Linked DNA regions of Drosophila melanogaster. The protein of the gene in region 3 interacts with the protein of the main gene of each other region in a pairwise test. Each region holds a gene or a part of one and is shown on either strand. Other genes may lie near its edges. The genes, in order: Lmx1a, CG16984, spz3 and CG34353.

What was found.
Region 1: the proteins of spz3 (region 3) and Lmx1a interact in a two-hybrid assay, tested with the Drosophila melanogaster proteins (one large-scale study listed by BioGRID).
Region 2: the proteins of spz3 (region 3) and CG16984 interact in a two-hybrid assay, tested with the Drosophila melanogaster proteins (one large-scale study listed by BioGRID).
Region 4: the proteins of spz3 (region 3) and CG34353 interact in a two-hybrid assay, tested with the Drosophila melanogaster proteins (one large-scale study listed by BioGRID).

The regions. Positions count from the first base shown.
Region 1 is NT_037436.4:12,327,314-12,335,259, forward strand, and holds the start of Lmx1a (LIM homeobox transcription factor 1 alpha), read left to right. Parts: upstream 1-1,918; 5' UTR 1,919-2,156; coding exon 2,157-2,940; intron 2,941-6,893; coding exon 6,894-7,772; intron 7,773-7,846; coding exon 7,847-7,946.
Region 2 is NT_037436.4:2,594,246-2,597,528, reverse strand, and holds CG16984 (uncharacterized protein), read right to left. Parts: upstream 1,749-3,283; 5' UTR 1,660-1,748; coding exon 1,554-1,659; exon of another isoform or gene 1,498-1,553; coding exon 680-1,497; 3' UTR 540-679; downstream 1-539. Other genes in the region: CG12182 (uncharacterized protein), read left to right, coding at 1-335, 387-539; dos (daughter of sevenless), read right to left, coding at 2,483-3,007, 3,064-3,283.
Region 3 is NT_033779.5:7,873,533-7,881,292, forward strand, and holds the start of spz3 (spatzle 3), read right to left. Parts: upstream 6,021-7,760; 5' UTR 5,615-6,020; coding exon 4,675-5,614; intron 2,633-4,674; coding exon 2,499-2,632; intron 1,806-2,498; coding exon 1,681-1,805; intron 980-1,680; coding exon 500-979; intron 430-499; coding exon 273-429; 3' UTR 1-272. UniProt on the Drosophila melanogaster protein: Neurotrophin which may function as a ligand to the Toll-related receptor Tollo. Involved in a Tollo and JNK signaling pathway that positively regulates neuromuscular junction (NMJ) growth in presynaptic motorneurons.
Region 4 is NT_033777.3:27,902,824-27,907,817, forward strand, and holds the start of CG34353 (uncharacterized protein), read right to left. Parts: upstream 3,021-4,994; 5' UTR 2,148-3,020; intron 1-2,147.

The DNA.
Region 1 (7,946 bases), on a different chromosome or scaffold from region 3:
GCGGGAAAAACAGGGCGAAAAAGCAGCAAGCAATGCCGATTCCTTGTACAAGTGCCGCTGCTCGATGCCAACAAGTTTGGTGAAAAGTCTCCCACTTGGCCAACTGGCAACCAACGGCTGCTCCCCCTGCGTCTGCTTCCCCAGGTATCCATGCTAAGCTACGGAGCACATATCCAGCGTAGGCGACTCCTTGGTTCACAACTTCCACGCCGGTCGGCAGCCCGCTGAGCCAAAGCCTAGTCTTAAGCCGAGGCCCAAACATCAAGTTACTGCCAGGCGATGGTGTGGTGGCCCAAAAGGGGGCCAAGAATTCGAGCTTCGACTCCAGAAGTAGCGCCAAACTTTTATGCACAGCACCATGTTTGGTTTGTCTTTCCAGCTTCCGCTTTTCTTCTTGCCGCTCGGGTTTCTCTTTTCCTTCATCCTTTCTCATCCTCGGTGATAGTATCTGTGCTTCAGTGTGTGCGTGTTTGCGGGGGCGGATAGTTGGGTTTCGGCCTCTTTGGGGGCGCCGGAAATGGGGCTGCCTCCCAGTTGTCGGTGGGCTTTTGATGCTCATACAGGGTGACATTGCCACTTCCGCTTTAAATCGCTGGAAATTAGAGGGGTATGAGCATTGAAAACTTAATAAATCTTAAATCTTGCTTAAAAGCAACTTTTATTTAATTTAAAGATATTATCGGAATAAGAATTCTATAAATGTAATTTCATAAAAGAAACTTATTTTTATGAAGTCTTACAACTTTGAAAACTGCTTAAAAAAGATTGATTTTGAAAAGAAATAAATAAACATCTTTTCTCTTTGAGTAACTACAATAAATAATGTCTTGAATCAATTATAAAGAGATTATACTTCAGTTTTACTAAGTTCTTTAATAATACTATAGTCACAGACTTAATCTTCACTTTTACAGTAGACATAATAACATTAATGGAATAAAATGTATGGAAATCATTATCCAGAATTCAAAACTAGTTCATTTAAATTTTAAGAATCCTTTAAGAATTTCAAAAAACTTTTGTTGTGAGACATTAGGTCCTTAAATAACCTGCCCAATGTATTGAGAAGCACCCGTTCCCATCTTGTTTATCGCCAACTTTTTTCACCCGCAAAAAGTAAAATGCAAGTGCAAAAAAGCGTAAAAGAAGACAAGGCCATTGTTTTTTTCTGCCTCTACTGCTGCCACTGCTGTGTTTGTTGCCTTTGTTGTTGCTGGCATTCTGGTCCAGTCGTGCCACTCAAAGAGCCAACAGCAGCAGCAGCAACAACTCAAGGAAATTGTCGCCGTCGAGCGGCAAACTCGCCAAAGTTGCCGCGAGTGCAAGTGCAAGTATGTCTTTGTGCCCCATCAGCAGCAGCAGCAGCGGCAGCAACACCAGCAACAACCAGCAACATGCAGCTGCCGCACGCCCACCGATGGCCGCCCACAAGCCGACTTGGTCTTGCATTAAAGCCAAGACATCTACGAATATGAGAAAACCAAATATAAAAAAAAACAAAAGAAAAGAAAACCCGCACTTCCCCTGCGCACATGCGCCGTGCGGCAAAATGGACGCCGGGGAAATGGCCAGCCAATCGCAGCGAGGCTGAGGTGTGGCCAGCGATTTGCGAGGGACTTGCTCTCTGCCAGAATTTCCCTCGCTGCTAATAATCACTTGAGACATGCGCACTGCCGGGGCAGAGAGGGGGTTGCTGCAACCCTTGCACCGATACAACCCCTGGCATCACGTGCAACACGAAGAGCTGCTGTTGTTGCCGCAGGCCAAGCGGCAGTTGTTGCTCCGCAGCTCCGTTGCTCCGTCGCTCCGTTGCTTTTGTAAACAGGCGCAGGCGCAGTGCGCGGGGGTACGTTTCAGCTGGGATTTTTTTTTTTTTTTGTGAGGGCAAAGTGAAATGCTTTGATTTCGCTGATGGTTCGATCACACGCCAACTGACAGCGAACGCGGCTGGTTGTCCTCGCATTCGGCAGCGCAAGAATAGGCCACCGAAATCATATTCTAAACGAAACTGAACAGAAGCGTAGTTAAAGTTAAAGCAAAAGCAATCGAGCGTCTTGTTTGTGTGTCGCGTGTTCCTTGTGCGGTGTTGCATGTGACATTTTCGTAGACTCGAAACTAAAAAAGTAACAGCGGTGTTTTGTGGCAACTCGTATACGATGCTGGAGTTCTACCCAATGCCCACGAATCTGAATCCAGTCGGTGGCAGTTTGTACTCGCTGCAGCAGAATCATGGCGGCGCGCGATTCCTGGACAATCCAAATCCCGGCAGCATGACTGCCAGCAGCGGCAACTCCCTGCATCTTAGCAATAGCAACAACAATCTGCCAACAAGCATTTCCGGCAACAATAGTCCCACGGCAACGGCTTCATTAACGGGGCAGCATCAGCAGCACCAGCAGCAGCAACATCAGCAGCAGCAGCAACACCCCCACCAGCAACATCAGCAACACCAGCAGCAACACGCTGCCTCGACCACGCCAGTGCCAATTAACAGCTGCCCCACGCCCACAGGACACAGCCCCCTCAGCAGCAGCAGCAGCAACAGCAACCACAACAATAACAACAACAACAACAACGGGGGCAGCAGCAGCAACAACCTCCACTCAGCCTGCAACACATTAACAGCTGCTGCTGTTGCCGCTGCCTCTGCCGCTGCTGTGGCAGCTCCATCGCCAGCAGGCACCTCAGTAGCCACCTCGCAATTAGGCGGAGCAGTTGCTGCGGCGATTGCTGCTGCTGCTGCGGCGGCTGCCGCTGCGACGACACCCACATCGACGGGCCCAGCGGCCACAGGAAGCGGAAATGCAAATGGCAGTGGCAACGGAAACGGAAATGGCAATGGCAATGGAAACGGGAATGGAAATGGGAATGGAGGTGGTGCAGCAACGGCATCGGCAGCAGCGGCATCCAAATTGTCTGCCGATTGCAGCGGACGCACAGGTATGTTCCAAAAGTATTTTGCACCGGCAGTCGAGCAATTTACCGGCTCGTTCCTCTTCTGGGGTTTTCACGCTTTTCGTTTTTGGCATACTTGCGTGTGCCCGGCCTGCGGGTCCGTTTCTGTATCCGCATCAGCATCCGTATCCGTGTCCAGGTTCGGTGCTGCGCTGCGTGAGTTCCAAGCTGGTCGGACGAGGCTCCAGATTGTGTACAACCACCCACACCTGAGTATGCCGGCAGTTTGCGTGCGATGTGCTCGGCTTTTTGGGGCCCAAGGAATGCTTCTCTAGGGGAAAATATATAGATATTCGTTGTTTTTTCTTGCGAATAAAGTTGAAGTGCTTATTTCAAAAGGTGTTTACTCCTGAAACTTTTCTTTAAGCGGAATATTTCAGCATTTATTGATTGCAGTAAAAATTAGCGTATATATTCATAACATTAAAATAATATAAGAGAAAAGTATTCTTCATATTAATTAGCCTAAAATCAAAAGTAAATAATAATTTAAAAAACATTAAATAAGAATGTTCTTATTTGTTACTAGTTTGCTTTTAGTTTGCAGAATGCAAGTAAAGTCAATTTGGTTAGATATATCATAGGTTTTGTTAATTATTATTGTATCAATATTAGCATAAATCCATGTTTAACTTGGAACTTAATTGCAACTCAGCTTTCAAAGAGTTGGATTTACTTTTTAGCAAGTGAAATAGCCAGAGGCAGATTGTCCACTTATGTAAAAACAGGCAAAAGCAAATGCACAATTTCCGGCTAACACGTACATATATATTGACAGAGGACAATAAATTATGAATTTGTAGTTGTGATGGCGCACACATGTTGTGGATAGTTCAGTGGGCGGATGTGCGGCAAGCATGGCGAAAGTATTTCCAAAAGTATGAACGCAAGTTGACCACAAAATAATTTTGACAATGAACCTGTCTGACATCCGCCCGGCACGGCCAAAAAGAGGCGTGGCTCGACCAATAAAAGGCTATTAAAGCATGCCACACACTGCCTCCCTCCCACACACACACACACACACACACTGATGCTTTGGCATGCAGGCACACATACACACACACTCGCATGCATGACAGCCTCAAAATAGGCAACACTTTTCAGCTGAGTTGCAACGAAAGTGTTGCTGGGGAAAACTTTTGCGAATTTCCCTCCGAAATGCAAAGTGTGCAAACAATGTGTGTGATGCATATGCAGACCAGACCTCGTCCGAGGCTAAGTGGATTGTGTTTTCGGTTTTTTAGTGCCCCTCATCCGCCCACTCAATCGCCCACAATAGCTGTGCTCTCTTGCCGGCCAACTTTGCATTTGCCTATGAAATTTCTATTAATGCTCGCATTCTGCCATTTGCTATTTGCCATTTGCCATTGCCCAAATGGCAGCAAATAGTTTCCGTTTCCGCTCGTTCCGTGCCACTACCCCAATCCACACACCACTCCCCGCCTCTCATCCTAAGCTCCATTTTCCTCGGCAAACACTTGGATGCCGGCTGCTAAACTACTATCGGTGGCCCACACTTTGCAGAGGTCGAGGAATTTCGAATGGGCTGCCATTGGGGGTGGTGTGCACTCGGGGGCAGACCACGGAAATGAGCACACTCAGTGTCAGGTATTCCACCGAGCGTATCAGCATACATATTTGGCTTCTGCGGTGGCTCCAGCTTCGTCTTCCTGTCCTACCCACAAACCCCACCCACCCAATCGCCAGTAGGTGTGCATTTGTGTGGCGGAAGTATGCGCCATACGCATAGTTCTGTGTCACTTTCCGTTGAGATCCAGCTACACTGAAACAAAACTGCTATTCAAGAACTATACGGAAAATCCACTGGAACTCACAAAGAGTACTACATTTGAGTTTAGAATGCAAAAGTCAATATATTTTGCAATCCCTATTTGTAATTTGATTAAATCTGTATCTTACATTTTAAAAGAGTAGTTTTTGAAGTTCATCCTATTTTATTCATTATTTTATATTATGATTAATACCATTTCCATGGTGTAGATAGCAACGAAGAGTTTTAAAGACCCTGTTTGTTTGTCAGTCGAAATGAAAGCTGTCGAATTATGAGCTGCCTGTCAACGATGAACTGCTGCCAAAATCCGCGTGGCACGTGGACTGGACTCCAGTTAGTGGCCGAATTAGTGCCAGAAGTTGGGTGCTGTCTGCCGATTTATCTCCATATAACCCCGCCCCGCTGTCAATGTGTCAATAAATGCACCATATAGTGCGACAATCGTGGGGCGTTCGGGCAGATAAGCCCCTTTATCGGCGATAACGACGAGGACACTTTTCTCTATTAGTTCTATGTTTATCGTCGAGTTGATTTTGGATTTATCTGCTGTTTAATCTATGTATTTGACATGAGTGTGCCGCACTTGTTCCGACTGTTTGCGCTTGTTGTTTGTTGATTTTTGGACAAGTTTCGCCCAGGCTTTACCATTCAAGCCCAAAAACACACACTCACTCAATGCAGAGTCCTTTGTTGGCCAAAACAATACAGAGAAATCGGAAAAAAAGCATACATAAAACTGCAGTAAAATGCCATAAATTTCGATTAGATTACACAAACGAAATCCCGTCACAATATCGATGCTCAAAGCTCTACAAAAACATGAGGCCAAACTCAAAACGCAGCTCCCCTCTGGGGTTTATCAAATGAATCATTCTTGATTTTTTGCTCGGCCCATGCAAAAACCTTTATCGCCAATGCGATTGGATATGGATACTGCACAATAGGATGAAATGCAAGCCAAAAAACAGAAAAAAAAGGAAAATAGGAAAATGCCCGAGGACATTGTCAACTTTCCGCTGCACTGGCTTAGCGCCCCCTTACATAGGGATTTTCGTCCCTATTCCCAGACTATATATCACCCATACAGCCACATTCGCGTAGATATGGCGACTGTGTGCGTTTGTGTGTGTGGGGAGGCCATTGTGCCAACCATAAATCATGCACATTTTTCTGCCACTGAGCCACAGCCATATAATATAACACTCCACTTCCATTGCCAGTTTCCCTCCGCACTTTTTCTCCACTTTCCCTCCGCACTTTCCCAACTCGCTGCTCATTTTTCAAATGCTTCCATACATTTTTCGTGGCGGTCGTCATATATTTTTTATGTTTACTGCATGCAGCTTTTGTTGTGTTTTTCGGGTACTACTTTTTATGACTGGTTTACAGTTTCAAGAGCTCCGTCTACGGGAGGATTAGGTTCGTTCTACTTTGGGTAAGGCGAGCTGAAATCCAGTAGCTCCTCAATGGGAGATTAGCATTTTTTAAGGGACTTTGTTTAGGAGTTAAGCTTTGGCTTAAGTTCGGTGGTATATACAATATCAATTGAGCCATTTTCTGGCATGTTTATATACATTGATAATCGAGATGGGGGGCTGTTCAATAATACCGAACAAATACGGAAAACTTTACGTTTCAATTACGCATCAATAAGCTTTCAATACAAGCTGTTGCAGTCCGACGACAGATAATTTTTTCCAGCGAAGAGTTTTCCTTCTGTTTTTCCATCGAAAGTGCGAAACAGCGAACGGAAAAACAAGAGAGACGTTGAAGCATTTTCACACGATTCGATTGTCAGCGCGCTCCTTGCTCCATTGGCAGCACATGTCATGATAATTTCGCAGCGACATGTGCCGCCATCACGTATACGCCACGTACGCCCATCACAGTAGGGCGAATAAGCGGAGTTACACTGGAACAAAATTACTAAAGTATTAGGATTCTTCTTTGAAATATTTCTGTTCTCAAGAAAATGTTTCATATATATTTTCCAAGTATGGGTTAAATATTCGATTAAATTGATTATTAATGTAGATAGATATATTTATTATATTTTAAACCTCAGTGTATTAGTTACTTGAAATGTATTCTGCGACTTACTAACGCGACTTTTTTCCCCCATCTTTGCTTGTTTCATCCCCAGAAGTGGGCCACATCAAGTGCGAGAAGAACTTCGAGCTGTGCGAGGGCTGTGGCCAGAAGATCCATGACCGATTCCTGATGAACGTGGGCGATGCCAACTGGCACGAGCAGTGCCTGGCCTGCTGCTACTGCGGAATGCAGCTGCACCACACCTGCTACGTGCGCAACTCGAAACTCTATTGCAAGATGGACTACGACCGGCTGTTCGGTGTGAAGTGCTCCTCCTGCTGCCATGCGATCCTGCCGCAGGAGCTGGTAATGCGACCCATACCGAACTTTGTCTTCCACCTGCCCTGCTTCGTTTGCTACGCCTGCCGATTGCCGCTCCAGAAGGGCGAGCAGTTCATGCTGCGCGATGGCCAGCTCTTCTGCTATCGTCACGATCTGGAGAAGGAGATGTTTCTGGCAGCCGCTGCTGCTCAGCACTGTGGGTTCGTTGGCCTGGACGAGGAGGATTTGCTGAGGCCACGGGATGGAAGGAGAGGTCCGAAACGACCACGCACCATCCTCACATCGCAGCAGCGCAAACAGTTTAAGGCCTCCTTCGATCAGTCACCCAAACCATGTCGCAAAGTGCGCGAAGCCCTGGCCAAGGACACCGGCCTATCGGTTCGTGTAGTGCAGGTGTGGTTCCAAAATCAGCGCGCCAAGATGAAGAAGATTCAGCGCAAGGCCAAGCAGAATGGTGGCTCCGGCGGAGGATCGGGCAGTGGGCGTGGCACGGGCAATTCCAGCGCCACCGACGATAAGGACACCAATGACAAGGAGGACAAGTGCGTCAAGCAGGAGCTCGGAGGAGATAGCTCCGGTTATTTGGGTGGATTGGACAGCACTTTCGCCAGCCAGCCGCTGAATCCCAATTTGCCCTTCTCACCGGATGGTAAGTGGTTCGATTTGAAGTTTGATTTCGTCCAAGCATTATTCTACAAGTACTAATGGCTTGCTTTTCAACAGACTATCCGGCCAACTCGAATGACAGCTTCTGCAGCTCGGACCTCTCGCTGGATGGGAGCAACTTTGACCAGTTGGATGACGATGCGGACTCGCTGTCGCT
Region 2 (3,283 bases), on a different chromosome or scaffold from region 3:
TGACAGTTCACATCCAAAAGTCCCGGGATGAACTGCAGCTGCTCCTTGCGATGCTGAATATCACACACATAAGACTGAGGCTCCAGTTTATTGGGTCATTAAGTAAGAGATCACCATTCCAGGAGCAGGCGATAAAATGTATGTTCGAGGAGGCCCACAGACTGATAAATAAACTCAATGACGACTTCACGGAAAACCATGCCCTAGGATCCACAGCAAGGACATTCGTTGAACAAATGGGCAACCATATTCAGCACTTGCACGAGATGCTAGGTATACCTGTGATATCTAATCCCCAGAAGCAACTTCATCGATGCAGTGTGTCCTTTGTGGAGGTAAGAATTCACTAGAATTCATTTTAAGACAAGACTACAGTATCCGTACAGATCTCCCTCAGCTTGGAGCGACGCTACTGCAGCCTCTGCAACCGCCAAATCCTATTCGAGCTGGACAATCTGCAAGAACTCTACGAGTCGGGGAGACATCTGACATGTCCCGTTTGCCATGGAAGCTTTGCCACGGAAATGTTTAATGCATAAACGTTAAATTTATTCTCAATCTTAATTACGAAGTGTTTTGTGTGTCCGCCTCTAAGAGCAAAGCAAGTGAATCCATGGAGACACCTCACTCGGCTTCCAGATGCCGACACACATGGTCAGAAAAGGTGTGTGTGTCATTGTTAGTACTCGGAAACATAGATAATGGGAGTGGTCTCGATTAGCAGAATGTCCTGCTCCACCTGGCGAAGATCGGACTCCAGCTTGCTTTTGCGCTGCCGCTTGGCGATGCTGTCGATAAGGAGCGACATCGACTGATACTGCTTGGTCATCTCGGTCAGGCTCAGTCGCAGTCCCTCGAGGATCTCATTTCGCTCGGCCTGCTCCATCACCCGCATACCCGGCATTGGCGGCGGACCACTTGATTGGACGGATGCCCTGGTGAAACCCTTGATACCGCGGCACAGCTCCAGCAAACGTGCCTGTTCCTTGGCACACACCGCATTCATGTCGGCCAACATCCTCTTGGTTTTCTTGAGGTAAACAGGCACCTTGCCGAAATCCTTGCGGCAGATAAACTGCGGTACCAATCCGGAATTGAGTAGATCGTGACGAGCTCCCACGGGAGTGTCTACATAACGAGGTGGCGGGGGACAGGGAACCGTTTGTCCGGCACATATCTTGTTGCGTTTGATGAAGTTAGGTACCATTGCCGGCTTTTTGCCGCCACTGCCCGGTGGTGGTAGTGGGGGCATTGGCGGCATCTTGGGACACTTGTGGGTGTTCTCTCGCCGCCATTTGATGCCCTGGCTCTTGCGCAAATAGGCGCACGGTGGGTCAATCGGAGTGTGAGCACAGCCCATGGTGCGGTGGGCTGATTTCTTGGCCTCTGTCAGGACGCGGGTTCCATCGTTCTGGAGGATAATCGATAGCTTCTTGTCCTCCTCGTTAAAGCGTTCGCGAAGTCTCTTGGCATACTTGGCTGCCCTCTCCACAACAGCTGCAAAATTGCTTAAAGTTAGGTGGGAGGTAACGATTTTTAGTACGAATCCCTACGATTTTTGTAGACAAAAATTGATTCCTTAGGTCCTTGGGCCTTCACAAAGTCCTGCTCGCACTCGAGAATATTCTCATCGTGATGGGTGATATAAACCAGGGACATTGTAATACAAATATGTAAGGATGAAGGTAGGGAACTCGAAAGCGTGCTAGTTTACTGACTATTCGTTTAATAATAACAGTCTGTTTGGTGGAGACTCCTGCGTTGCCAAGTACCTCTGCGTTGACTTGGATTGATTTAACTCGAAACAAAGGTTGCTATAGGATTTCCAGAATAAACAGAAGGCAACATCGTTTCCTGGTGATATTGTAATATTCAGATATTTTCTAGCAATCGGAATTCGATATTTGTTCTGGATCTTTTAGGAGAACACACAAAATTGGTATTATTGTATATATATTTTTTAAAGCACAAAATCAAGCTACAGCTTGTGTCGCACACGAGTTACATTATTAAATTGTAAATAATTTGTTACCATATAAAATTCGTGTATATAAATATTTCGCTTGCGTATATAAAATAATTGTTTGCATTGTAAAATTAGCACTAAGATCGTTTGTCATGGTTACATTTTGATTCCGAAGCTTAACAATAAACATGGAAGTGTTGGAAGCACGATTTAAATACGAATACGACATAGATTCAGATACGGGTTACAGATTACAGATTCAAAACAGCACACAGAAATGCTGGTGCCGTCTTACAAGCTAGATATGTGGTTTAATGAATAATGAATTTGACGATGTTAACGAATGTAAAAGCCACTCGAAATTTGCACTGTTTTTGGATGGGGTCAGCTCTCCTCAGCTGACCACCAATAGGCACTACGAAAATCTCGGATCAGCAACATGGTCCTTCCTTTGCTATTGCACGTTGACAAGTAGATGTACTGGAGATATGATTTCATTTAGCTGAACCAGCAGTTTCACTTGTTGCCGCTGCTCTCGCGCTCCTCTCGAATCCTCTTAAATGCCTCCGTCTTGACAAAGTCCACGGATCTATAGACCACGCTGCTAGGCACTGGCGCTCGAGCTCCGCCAGCTTCGACGCCTGCGAATCGCATTCCACTAGCTCCATTTCCGCCTTGTGAGTACAGATTCCCCACACTCATGCTGGATCGATTTAGCAATGGCGGTTTGTTGGTCACATCCAGATCAAAGTACTGCAGCTTGTGCTCAGTCTGCGCCGCCGCTTGCTGCTTGGGAGCAGCTGCTGCCGTCAAGCTCATCATGGCAGCCGCTGCGGAGGCGGTGCGCTGATGTTGTACCGACATGCTGCCGGGACTGTTCGGATGATGCCGATGCTGTTGGCGAGGCAGGGTGCGGGTCTCGTGAAAGAAGGCGTTGGCTGCCGCCGGGGAGTGTACATCCGTTTCATGCGGCAGCACCATTGAGAGAGGGGCACCGGAGGAACGTCGCGTTGCCGGCGACATGGTAGCCGAATTGCCCAACTAAAAAGAAGTCATTAGTAAATTGAATATGGGTGTGCACAACGTTTGTCACTCACCTTATAGGCATTCGGTTTGCACTTCCTGTCCACACTGGGCGGTCCAATGGGCTGCTGCAGTTGGGCTGCACCCAGTTTATTGGTTAACTGATCTACGCCCACCGGGGGCTTTGCAGGAAACTCCTCCGGCGGTTTGTCCTCTACAACTGGCAATCCACCCGCCACCTTTGGCTTAAGTTTCCGGTTAACCGGCGGGCAGTCCGCCTGCTCCATGAAGTCG
Region 3 (7,760 bases):
AATTACGTTTATAATTACCGTACAATAAAAATGGAGGCTGAGTAATATCGCATGTTGATGGAGGGGATATAGAGAATAGTGGAGATATACATATGGCTCGGATAAAATCTTAACTATGTGTAGAATTGTTCATAATTAGAGCTACCGATTAGGGCTTACGTAAGGTCTACTTAACAACAACTAAAATACATTCAGTGGCATTCTACCTACAATTACTTGTCTCAATTACATTTATCAATTGTTTATGTATTAATTGCTCAGAGTCAGGTAATCTAGGGATTACATCTACAGACACAGCACGAAGGAAACAGGAACCAATCCATAAAAATGCCCTTGCAATCGTTATCAGGATCGTAGGCGAGTAATCTATGCCATTTGTATTTCTGCTCGCATCCACACTCGCCCTCACATCTTGGAGTTTGGGTATTGCTACAAATAGTAAAAAAAAAAATCATTTCATTATTCGTTTTGTTTACTATTTAGTTAACAGTGTACTAACCTGCAAACCTCCTGGTGAATCGCCTGCTCGAAATGCTGAGTATTTACGATGGCTCTGATCTTACCCGCGGAGTTCGATGCCCAGTACGGTGTGACAATTTCAATCTTCGACTCGCAGGCATCGAGTCTTCCAGTGCCCGAACTACCATTCTTATTTCCCGGTTGCCTATTGGCATTCGTGTTCCCATTGCCACTTCCTCCGGCAGATCCGCCTCTATTTCGACTTCCTCCGGCGGCAGCTTGGCGCTTTTTCCGGAGTTGGCCAAAGTAACTATCTCCGGCTTCGACGGTCTCCCCGGCATTGGCAGCAAATGCTCCCGGGGGTATGAATATATCCGGCTCGTCTATGAAGCGACGCTTTCGCACCTTGCCTTGTTGTCTGCCACCTCCTCCGCCAGGACCCTCCATGTTCATCTCAAAGTCGCCGTACATCCGTCGCATCAGGGCCTTGTTGTCGTCTATGAAACGTTCAATCTTGTCACTAAAAATAAGCAGGTAGTTTAGCTTTGTATAAAATAATTGATTAAGTATTTAAAAGAACTTAATGTTATTTATTTCTTCCAGGTGTACGCCGTAAAATGACGTATTTAATGAATTTATTTTTATAATAACAAAGGAAGTGACCGTATTTAAAATTAAAATACAAAATACTTTGCCAAATCAGGTGATTCACTAAAAAGATTGATCATAAATACTCATTTGAGAAAAATTAATTGATTTGAGAGGGTCCGTAAAGCAGATGAAATGAGGTCAAAACCCACGGTAAATAGTAATTAAAATTTATCTTTAATTAAGAAAATGATATTATTAATTAAAAGAAATTAATATCTTCTTAGCGCAAAATGTTGGGACCCAATGTTAATGAACTTTGGAATGAATATCGTTGAAAGTCACACTTTTTGGATTTGCTTTAAGCCTAGTGATGAAATTCATGGTAATTTTACGTTTCTATGCTAATGAGAACAGTTAACTATGTGATTTTAGAACAGTCATCCGGATTAAATGTGATTCAGATCAGTTTCATTGGGAAAAAAAACTGGTAGAAGAAACCCACAGAAATGCAAACATCCTTGACTTAATCAAGAGAGTTAAAGTTATACGACTGTTCCAAGGGAAATACCAATATACCATTTCCACTCGGGATTTCCCGCAGCCCAAAAATAGAGAACAATGGTTACTTACATGGGATAACTATTGCCGGCCGTGGGGCAAAACAGTTGATGATATCGCTTGATGCACGGCACTCCCTTGATGACATCGCCGCGCACATCCAGTCCCAAAGCCACCGACAAAGCCGTCCACCAGATCTAAATTAACCAGAGATATACGATGGTCAGTCCGGGCGATAAGTATTAACTATTTAGCATTGAAGACGGCAATTGAGTTTCGGCGGGGTACTGAGCCTCAGATTGGAATGGCGACCATAACAAATTATGGCCGGGGTGTGAAAATGACTCAAGTAAGTCATAAACATAAAAGTTCGTTTTATATTCGAAAATAAGAAGATATGAAGGGTGTAGCCGTGGCGGGCGGTGCAGTTTAGAGTTGGATTTTGGGATTAAGCCTACTCGAGTCGCCATGCGAAGATTTTCAATATCAATCTCTCTCTTCTTTCGTCGTCATCAACATCATCACACCTCTTAATGAAACGAACTCGCACGACCTTCGTGCGCAAAAAAACAAAAAAAAAAGGAAAATAAAACCGAAATGAAACACAAAATCGTCAAAGTTATTTCCGCAAATGAACAAACTCGATCGATATCGAGAGTACACTGTAGGAAATCGGGAAAACTAGAACTCACCGAAGACCAAATCAAATTTTTATTATTTTCAATATAAACAGAAATGGGAAGAATAGGTGATGCCTGCTTGTTACTTAAAATTCATAAATGATTTTTGACTCCTACTTTTATTTGCGATCTATATTTTCCGCAGTGTGTCAATTAAAGTGCGCGCGGGCTTAGAACCTCATGCCGGCGAACCTATCGATCCGTACTTACCGGAATCTGTAGGAACGATCCGTTGTTGAGTTTCGGATAGGAGAAGAGCGGCACCACTGGAACCGTCCCGTTCTTCAAGTAAATCGGTCCCTGGATGGGCGTCACTGTGGGCATCTGATTGTTATTCGACTTATCTGTGAACGGAATGTAAATGGATTCGAAAATGAAGTGAAAATGGAAATTGGAGTGCTTTTAAATGGCTGCTGTTTCGGCGGTGATTCATGGCAAGGACGGGGGAATTGCTGTATCCGTGGCCGTTGTCACTGCATTAATCAGCCCGGTTAAACCCAAAAAGAGCTGCCATTGCAACTGCAAGTGCACTCGGTGTCTGCATACAAATCGCACTGCAGTTGACACTTGCATGTATAAATTTCATGTCTGCCTGGCATTTGTAATGCCCAGATCCGGATCTGGGCGCAGACAGAAACTTTCCCTTTTATAGCCATACTGCAGGATGCAAAACGGGTTGCAGAATCCAAAAAAGGGAGCATACAGTGCAAAAACTTATTTCCTCAAAATGTTACTTAAACTAAATGTAATGGAATTGAAGGGTTCTAGACAAGTGGTTTCCTTATTATTATGCTATGACTTTTGAATTATTTAGGTAATTTATAGCTCTCACCGGAAAAATGTCTTACCAAACAAATTTGTCAGATTTAAAATAATATTTAAGAAATATCCTAGTTATTATGTTATGACGTTTTTCTTGATTTCTATACTTTTTTCTCGCAGTGTTCAGATCTCATGTCACTTTCAGCTAATGAGATATATTCTTTGGCAGGTTGTGAAATAGATTCTTTGTTTCTGTGCACTGATCTTTGGTTCAGATCGCATCTTTTATGATATTTTTCTGCCTGCACAAAGGTGAAAACCCAGTGTTGAGTACTTGAGTGCCGCGCCAAGACATCGAGCGACCCAAACTAGTATCTGAGTTTTGGTCTTGCGTGCGCACGTCTTCATATGAGAGCTGGTTCATGAGCTCGGCCCCTTGCCCCTCATTTCGGGAGATTGAAACGCGACTTCTTGCATAATAGCCCCGTAACCGAGTTGAGTACTTGAGGTCTCAAGTCTGGCAGGTTGCTGGCTGGCTAATGCCTCGACAACTCGCAGATTGAGATTCAGATTGAGATGGAGATGGAGAGGCAGAAACAAAGAGGCGCCACAAGCTAGACCGAAAGTGAAACATCCGAAAAAGTGAAGCGCCGCTGACAGTTTTCCAAGAGGACAACAAGGGCAGCAGATTCAGATACGAAGATACGTAGATACTTGAGCCGTTAGATAGACGGTCTTAGATACAGATACACCCCGGCACAACATAAATCGTGATGCGTGCCAGCCTGTTAGTTGCTATAAAATTCAAACACTGGCCATTACTGTCTTGAAAGTGACCTTGCCGATCGGTTTGTAGACCTTTGACCTTGTCGCCGCTCGTTGCTTGTGCGCTGTTTACCCCACAGGTTTGTTATTTGTTATAGTTGCTCGGCGATCTTGTGCAGAAGTTGCTCTCAATTGGAAAGATACACAAAAACAAGTAGCAGGCGAAACCACAGAAATTAACATGACTTTCAGCGCCCGTCTTTCGAATCGTGTGCAAACGTGGGACTCTATGCCGCTTATCTCTGTGAATCTACATACATGCTCTAAATTCACACTACACATATGACTTGACTAAAAGCAAACAATTTAAGCCACCAACATTTGGTTCGTTTTTAATTGTTAATTGTTAAGATTGCCATCTCCGTGAATCAGGAAACACTCGAACTGGAATGTACTCAGAAGAGTGATACGACAAAGTCCGGAGAATTTCTTTTGGATGAATGAGGAAGTGATTCTCGGCCTCTTCAACCAAAGTTCTACATAGATCATACTGTCACATTATTATGCACTTAAATACATTTAATTAACGTCTGCTTGAGTCACTTATTCGTGGGGTAGTTAGGCATTCCAATTGGAAGTGTTTCTTGGTTAACAAGTTGGCATATAGAATTTTAAAAATAATGCACTCCTTAAGCTTAGAACTCAGCTTCCTGTGCTGTTATGCAAATTCATATAAATCCTTTCGATAAATTAATCATTTAATAGTATACTATTTTATTATAAATCTGACCTCGTTCTTTTAAATTCTAATTCCTTAGTTTGTTTCACCTTATAGTAAAATATCCAGTTGGGTACTCACCATTCTCTTGGCCTTCGTAGAACTGTCCTTCCTCCTCTCCGTCCTCCTCCTCATCCTCCTCACCCTCCTCCACGTCGTAGTCTAGAACGGCGTGTACCTGAGTCCTGGATCCCTGACCAGCCTGAACCCGTGTAAATCCTGGTGCTCGTTCCGGATAATTCTCCGGCGGGGCAACTCCGTATGTCTGAGCTGGTTGAGCCTCCGGCTTGGCCTGCCTGGACCTTTGGGGCGGTGGTGCAGGTGGTGGTTGCTGCTGTTGCGATGGCGGTGGTTGTTGCGGCTGCGGTGGCTGCTGCTGCTGCTGCCTGCTGCCAAAGCTGGTAATACTAAAGCTGCCGCTGTTCTTAGTAAAAGTGGCACTGGCACTGCCGTGTGCATTGAAATATTGCTTCTGTTGCGGTTGCTGCTGCTGCGGCGGCTGTGCTTGCTGTCCGGGATAACGGGAGTACGAACCCTCCGCCGGTCCCCGGCCACTCGCATGAGTCTGTGTCAGCTGGATGGAACTTTGGCCCGTGGTGCTGCTCGAACTTGATCTGGAACTGCTGCTCTGGAAGGACACGCTGTTCTCATGCTGATCCTGCTGCTGGTGTTGTTGTTGCGTTTGCTGCTGCTGCGTCTGCTGTACCTGCTGGATGTGGTAAACGGAATTCCGGACAGCATTCGGCGCTGTCGGTGGCAAATAGGCGTTACTCTGCTTGCGTCGTCCAGCTGTATTTTGATATTGATAACCACCCGATTGCGGCGGCGCATAGGGATTGTTCTTGAAGTACTCCGGATCGGCGGCTGCCTCCGCGGGAGTCTGCTGCTGGTGGTCAGCTGGCGAGTAGAGCAGATTATTTGTGTTGCTGGCCAACTGGTGGATTGGATGCAGGGGAGCTATGGTGACTCCCCAGGGCTGGCCCAGGGCACCGAAGGGCAGCGAGAAATTGGTCAGAGCCATGGGCGTGCGAAATATGCTAGCGCTCTCAGTTGGCAAACGAAAGACTTAAGCGACAAACTCGATCCGGACGCGCATGCGACATCATTTAGAACAGATCAGCGCACGGAAATCGATGGCGCGCGCTCTCGAAATTGATTTATGCAAAAATAACAAATCAGTCAGATCAGCTCCCGCTTCCCACCCCTGGCAACAATGGCAAACACACACTGGCAAACACAGAATATTAACACACACACATACGCGTCGATCGGCGGGCTATGTCGTTTATATATATATATGGCGATATTAAGGTATGTGCAAACGATGTTGTTGTTATTAAATAACTTAAGCGCGAACTTTTTGCTTCGGTCCCCGGTCCGCGTGTGTGCTAAAAAACCATTCACGACAAGCTGACAATCGAGACTGAGCCGTTCTCGCCGTGCGCCTTAAAAACAAACTTAATGGGTGGAAAATGTTTCAACTCTCGAAATCTCAAAATCTCCGACTTGAAACATTGCGCTCAGCTCCCTCAATCTCGGAATCTGGCTAAGAGCGAACGCTCGGCGAACTGAGTTGCGTTTTTATCTTTCGTTTTTCGGTTTCTGCTGAATGGCAAATCGAAAAATAAAACAAAACCGGAAAATATTCGATACTGAGCCAATCGAAGAGCAAATGCTCTTAGAGGCGGAGATAAATAAACAAAAATATTAAAAAACTGACATATTTTCAAGTTATACAGAAAAGTTCTCTATTAATTATGGTTTCTAATAAATTTTAGTGAATCACTATTAGCAATATGTTTAAGCGAATTTTTTCATTACTATTACTATAATGTATTAGCAGAATAGTTATAATATAGATCACATAATATTAATGTTTTGTTGATGATTGATGGACTAACCCAATAAATTTAAATAATTTACTTTAATCATCTGAGGGGTTTTAAAAGTGAACCTAAAGTTGTTGACAGTTACCGCATATCAGCATTAAGGTGTTTTATTATATTTGGCTTAATGTTTTAATTAAGAAAAGGGGTTTATCTTCTGGCATAGTTAAAAGCTGGTTTGGATTTTTAAATCGCTTAACTTTATGCGCTGAATTTCCTTTGAAGTGACTTAATTAAAGGAAATCGCATACTAATTAAGTTACGTGCACTTCTGAAATCAATCCAATTCTGGATTGGAGCCAAATACAATTTTGAGTATACCTTTCCTATACCTTCACCGGGGGAATCTTCTTCGACAGGTGCCGACGGCATCCCTCAAAGTGGGATTAGGTTGATGTTAATGAGAACCCCGTTTAGCTGGCATTAGTGACCTAGGTCAATGCCTGGATGCGTCGTCATGGGCTGATATACATTTTAGTGGCTTTTGCCGAGAAACGCATATTAATCACAGTAACCAAACCGAATACGACGTCTGCGCTGTTTTATTTCTCATCGAAGGCAATGAAAAGCAAAAGTATATTTAAAGTGGGCTTTCAAAACTGGTTGTGAAGAGCATCGCGGGTCGATTTGTTACACACATGACTGCCATCCAAAGAGAGTGGCTGGTGGGAGACCCTCCGTAGGGTTCTCCCCATCTCCATGACCATGTCTCTGCGGTTATATTACACTCTCTTAGCCAGGTGAAACAGTGGCCAGTGGCCACAGGGCAGAAGCAACGGGGTTATGCGGCGGTAATTTGAAATGTGTCGAGTGCATCGGGCGATGAGCAAATGGATGGCGGCGATGATGCTATGAATGAATGACTCGGTGTATATTTCATCTAAGCGATGGAGGTGTGGTCGTGTCAACGTCATAGATCTCGGATCAATGCGTCCACTTTGCATATTAGCACCTCGCGAATTGGAGCTCCCAGCATCTAGACAGCCGGAAACGGATGCAACTAATGGATAAAACAGCCTCAACGTGCTATGATCTTATCTTGGACATGATTTTTTCTGGGAAAAACGCCCTTTAATGGTGTCTCCTGTTTGATGGATGAATCAGTTACGAGTGGGGAATTTTTCTGATGTAGGATATGCGGTAATATACTTGGCCTGTGGGTGATTCTCTTGCCCTGGTCCCCTTTTCAGGGTCACACGCGGTGTCTTGAGCCACTTTTCCTTTTTCGCATTCTTACATGCAAATAAGTCACTTAAACTGTAACACTTGGGTTTGGCCAGC
Region 4 (4,994 bases), on a different chromosome or scaffold from region 3:
CAATTAAATGTTGGTAATTAATTATGAATTCCAGTGTGGCGCACTAAACTAAAACGTTCCGAGCTCGGCATTTATCAATTTCGATATGCCAGCAATTGAAGATGGAACGGCACAAGGACGAGATCGAATGCATGGCATAGGGCTATGGACTCGAAATCAGGTAATAAGCAAGAACCAATCGATGCACGGGCAATTGAATTAAAGCCAATTGCAGTCAGTGCGTGTATGCCTCGTTTTATTGTTATGAATTATGCTTTGTTATTATTGCCATCGACGTGGCCAATACAACCGACCATATGCATACGCGCACGGAACCTGCCAGGACATTCCAGATGGCCCATAATGCTGGCTAGTTGTTTGTGGTCGGTCGAGGCTACTATTTACATTATTCCATTATTATGGAATATATTCCCGTGTGTGTGTGTGTGTGTGTATGTATTTGTGTGCGCGTCCAGTGCGGTCCTGTTTAATTAGCCAAATTTATGTACGAATGCTTTAAAACAATTACCACAACAGGACCTGCCACGCCCCCATAAACATGAGGTATGCGCTAGTTGGCGTTTGGAATTTTGAATAACAATTGGAACTTAATAGAGTAGCTGGCTCTTGAATTAAATTGCATTTTGTGGGCCATGATACAATTAATGGCGAATGGTCAGGCATGGATACCGAATACAGAATACTGGATCCTGGGGATCCTGCGAGTCCTGGCAGCTCTGAATAATGGCTGTCGAACTCGACCAACCGATGAATGCAGCTCAATAAATATAAATATGAATGTCTTTAACTATTATGCCATGTGATTGCTGTGGCTTTCGTGTGTCTTTAATTATTTAACCATTATGTGCGCTGACTTATTTATGCCAGTGTGTGTGCGTGTGAGTTCTCCAGTGCGTGTGTGTGTTTTTGTGGAAAATGTTCTGGGATATTGGCTCCTCGATTTTCCTCCGCGGGCTGGACGCACTTATTTATTGATATGTCTTTCATTTTTAAGCTTCGGCGGCTGCCCGCAGTATTAAACGGAAATTAAAGTTGCCCATATACACATTTATATATTGCACCGTGTGAAAAGATACATATACGATATGCATGCGTTTATTTTGAAACCCCATTTTCACCACGGTTTTTCATGTATGTAAATATCGAAATTGTTTCTTTGGCCTCAGCCCTTTCTTGCTGGAAAATATTGTGTTACGTCGTAAATTATTGAGTACATTTCGAATGAAATCGGGAAATTGGGAAGGGACTTTAAAACTTTAAGGTTTAAATCAATATAACTACAATTCTACTAAAGTCTAACCAGGTTTTATACAAAATAGAGAATGTTTATATGTAGTATTCAACTATTTGCAGCTATTTATGAATTTGTCCTTTTGGACAATTGTATTAGGCAAAGTTAATCCCATTTAAATAGGATTGACAATGATGAGTTTTAATGCATTTTTTTTTCAATTGAATTTCAAAGCAGATTTAAAAAACAATGTGCCCTACCACCGCAAAATGATCAGCAAGCATTCATAATTTATACGGATATCAATCGATTAAGCTCGACTGGCATATTATGCGAGTAAACGAACTGTGATTGTCACATCGAGAGATTTGGTTTTCCTTTTGGATTTATGCCATTTCAATCAGATCCGCTCGGTGTTTTTGCAACTGGCGCATAATTGTTTTCTATATAAACTGCATTTTTACAATGTTTCAAACCTTTTGCAATTTGCAATTGGCCATGGCCAAAGCCTATGGCAAAACGGCGATTTATGGGTGGAAAAAATGATAAACTGGCAAACAAAACGAAATAAAATAGAATTCTCGCAGCCAATTGAAGTGCGAAAACACATCATACATATTTTTAATTAATTGTTAAAAAATACAAACAATAAAGCAGCGACAAGGAATACAAGCAAACAAAAAAAAAGGCAATCGTATAGCTTTATTTTATATTAATTATGCAGCTGAATGATTGCAGCACAGGCATTTAAAATGCAGCCAGAGCGGCGAAACAAAAACAATGACTCCAATTAAATTGTGCAATTGCCTTATTTTTCTTAATGCCACTCGTCAATGCAGCGCTCTATGTATGCGGATGTGCATATGAATAATTGTATTAAGGATGACTCCACTTTCAACAGGTGAAGGGGACTTACCTCGCACCAAAATTTCCGGATTATTGTTTCCTGTCGGATTTTTGGCTCTTTTAGCCTGACTAAGCACTTTGACCCGATTGTTTATTTGCCTTTCCTCGCTTTATTAATGGCTGTGTTTTGGCTTGGCACACACACCGTCTATGGCGTTTGCTTATGTTTGGGGATCACTGGAGCACGGGATATGTCACTTTAGTATGCCCAGCGATGCTGCACCGCCTGGGAGTCCTAATTTAAAATGCCGCACAATTTTCCGAGTGCAAATATTTAAATATTTAATTTGCCGGCGCTGATTGTTTACGTTTGGTGCCGTTGTTGCGGCTGCTGGTATTTTTCACTCTTAATTTAATTAAAAATCTTCGTCTTGCTGTCGCTTTCGGTTGCGTTGTGGTTAATCACAATTTATGGCAATGTGTATGCGCCAGTTTGATGGTGCTAGAATCTTGCCCAGCGGTGTAGGCCCAACGGTATTTCGCGAGAGAGCGGAAAATTTTTGGCGAAGCGAGAGAGCGCGCGTAGGTGCCAAAAAACGGTAAAGGGACGACGCGAGAGGAGCAGTTTTTATAACCGAAATCCCGAACCGCGATTTGGTTTGCCGGTTTAAAAAGCCCGAAAACTTACGGAAGGTTTGGTTTGGTTTCAGAATGATAGTTGTTTACTTTCACTTTACTAACACTTCTGTTTCAAAGTATTTTAGAGTTGATTTCTCTCTAGCGGTTTCCTCAGTGACTTCAATTCAATTCACTATTAATTATAAAGTACCGCGAGTTCGATTTTCGACTTAAACTTGTGCAGATTCAATTTAAACACCTTTTTTTCGGTGGCAGTGGGACGAGAGCACACAACCGTTTGCTATCGCGTTTCGAATAGGACTGAAGACCGTACGATTCGTTCGTCGTAGGTCGCACGAGTACGGACGAATGGCACGTCGGCAACCACTCGTTGATTCAACAGTTAGCCGAGCGAGCACGACAGGATGGGAAGGGGGGAGTTTACGAACGACCCGCACAATGTAATTGGTATTAGAGCCTCTTCTGGCGCGTGTGGTTGTTGCTGTTGCTCTTTTTGTTTGCTGCCGTTCGACAGCCGCAATCGCAATGAATGTGTGCCACAAGCGAAGAGAAAATTTCTCGCCGCAGAACTAAAGAGAGAATATAGTGGGCGGCTTATGGAACCCATTCGCGGCGAGATAGTAGGAATAGTAGTACTTATGTTCCAGTTTTAAGCATTTGTAAGATATTTTATTTCAGTTTTTAACAAAATGAACTACTTATGTTTAAAATAATAATGCAGGTGTATGCATTTATTTTATAAGTTTTTTTTTCATGCATAGCAATTTTAATATTTATGATATCCTTTAATGTCTTTAACTGTGTTCATTTTAGTTAACCTAATTTTAAATGAGATACCGCTTTCAAATCGCATCTAAGGATACGAAAGCTTAAAGCTTTCTGCAGCTTTACTTTAAGTGGGAAATGTTCTCTTGATAAAAAAGGGATATTTTCTCTTAGCTCGAACTGTTTGGTTAACTATATTTTTATAACTCTAATATTTTAAAGTTTTCTTTAAAGAAAATATAAGAATATTTTTATAATATAAACAAAACCAATTGGCATAAACGAACAATGTTTATCTTTTCATTACTTTGAGCAGCAACCTAGTGTACAAATATGTAGTGTTACATCTGGTAACATCTTCCAAAACCCTCAAAACTTCACCACGCCATGATGTTTATTTTGGACTTCTTGTTTCCCCCAAATATTTGAAAATTCCAAAATTAAGTAAGAAACTCTGCTAATTGACAGCTTTGTGGTGCGTCCTTCTGTCCATCGGAGTTCTGTGTTATTTATAGTTGTTTGCTTTTTTTCTGCTGCTCGTCTCGTTCCATTGGCCATTCTGCCCATTTTGGCCATTTTGGCCATGGACATGAACTTCGACTCGGTTTTGGGCCACATCTTCACGCTTCAAGGCCGACACACACTTGAAATGCGCCCCCAATTCATTTTCTTTTCTTACTTAGGCTCCTCGAGCCAGTTTATTGTTATTTTGGCCATTTCTGTTTTTGTTTTCTGGCAAACTTCTTGTACTGCCATCTGCGAAATGAAGCTTACCGCCCACTAGCCGGCTTCAGAGTGCCAATGGTTACCAGCTCCTTGTTTATCCAGGAGTCGCAGGACTCGCCAGGACTCGCCAGGACTGGCCAGTGTCCAGGCCCAGTTTCCCAGCATCGCCGACAGCCCCAAACTATTTGCCATGCCCCGCTCCCATAATGAATATTTATGAAGATTTAAAAAACATTTTCTTCGCGTCTGTTGTTTTATGATTTGCAAGTGTGCCTTTCGTCCTTTTTTCCTTCTTCCGCCGGAGTGCCGTCAGCTCAATGGCGTGCAAAGTCCTCTGTTTTTCGCCCCAATGACGAGTGCGCCGGAATGCCATCGAGATGTACATTGGACATGTCCCGGGACACGGGACACGGGACATGGACCAGTGGAAAAAGCAAACCACATCCCATGCAACCCACGGGCAAAATCATTCTAAATACGCATCGTGCCATCGCTGCTTTGTCGTTTGTTGTCTCAATCGCTGCAGAGAGCAAAATTGTCAGATATGCACTATAATTTGATTTAGCAAAATAAGAATAAAAACGTATTTTTTAAGTGGAATGTATAAATTGGGAAAAGAGAAACTACGCAAAAATACGATTGTATAGTTTGTGCCATCAAACATAAGATTGCTTTGCTATTGTAAAGAGGTCCTTAGTCCTTAAACAAGGTACTAGAGATATATTTTATTTTATTTATTTTCATAGCTTTTGACAGGTCATCGGTGCAAGATTTTAAAATATCAACC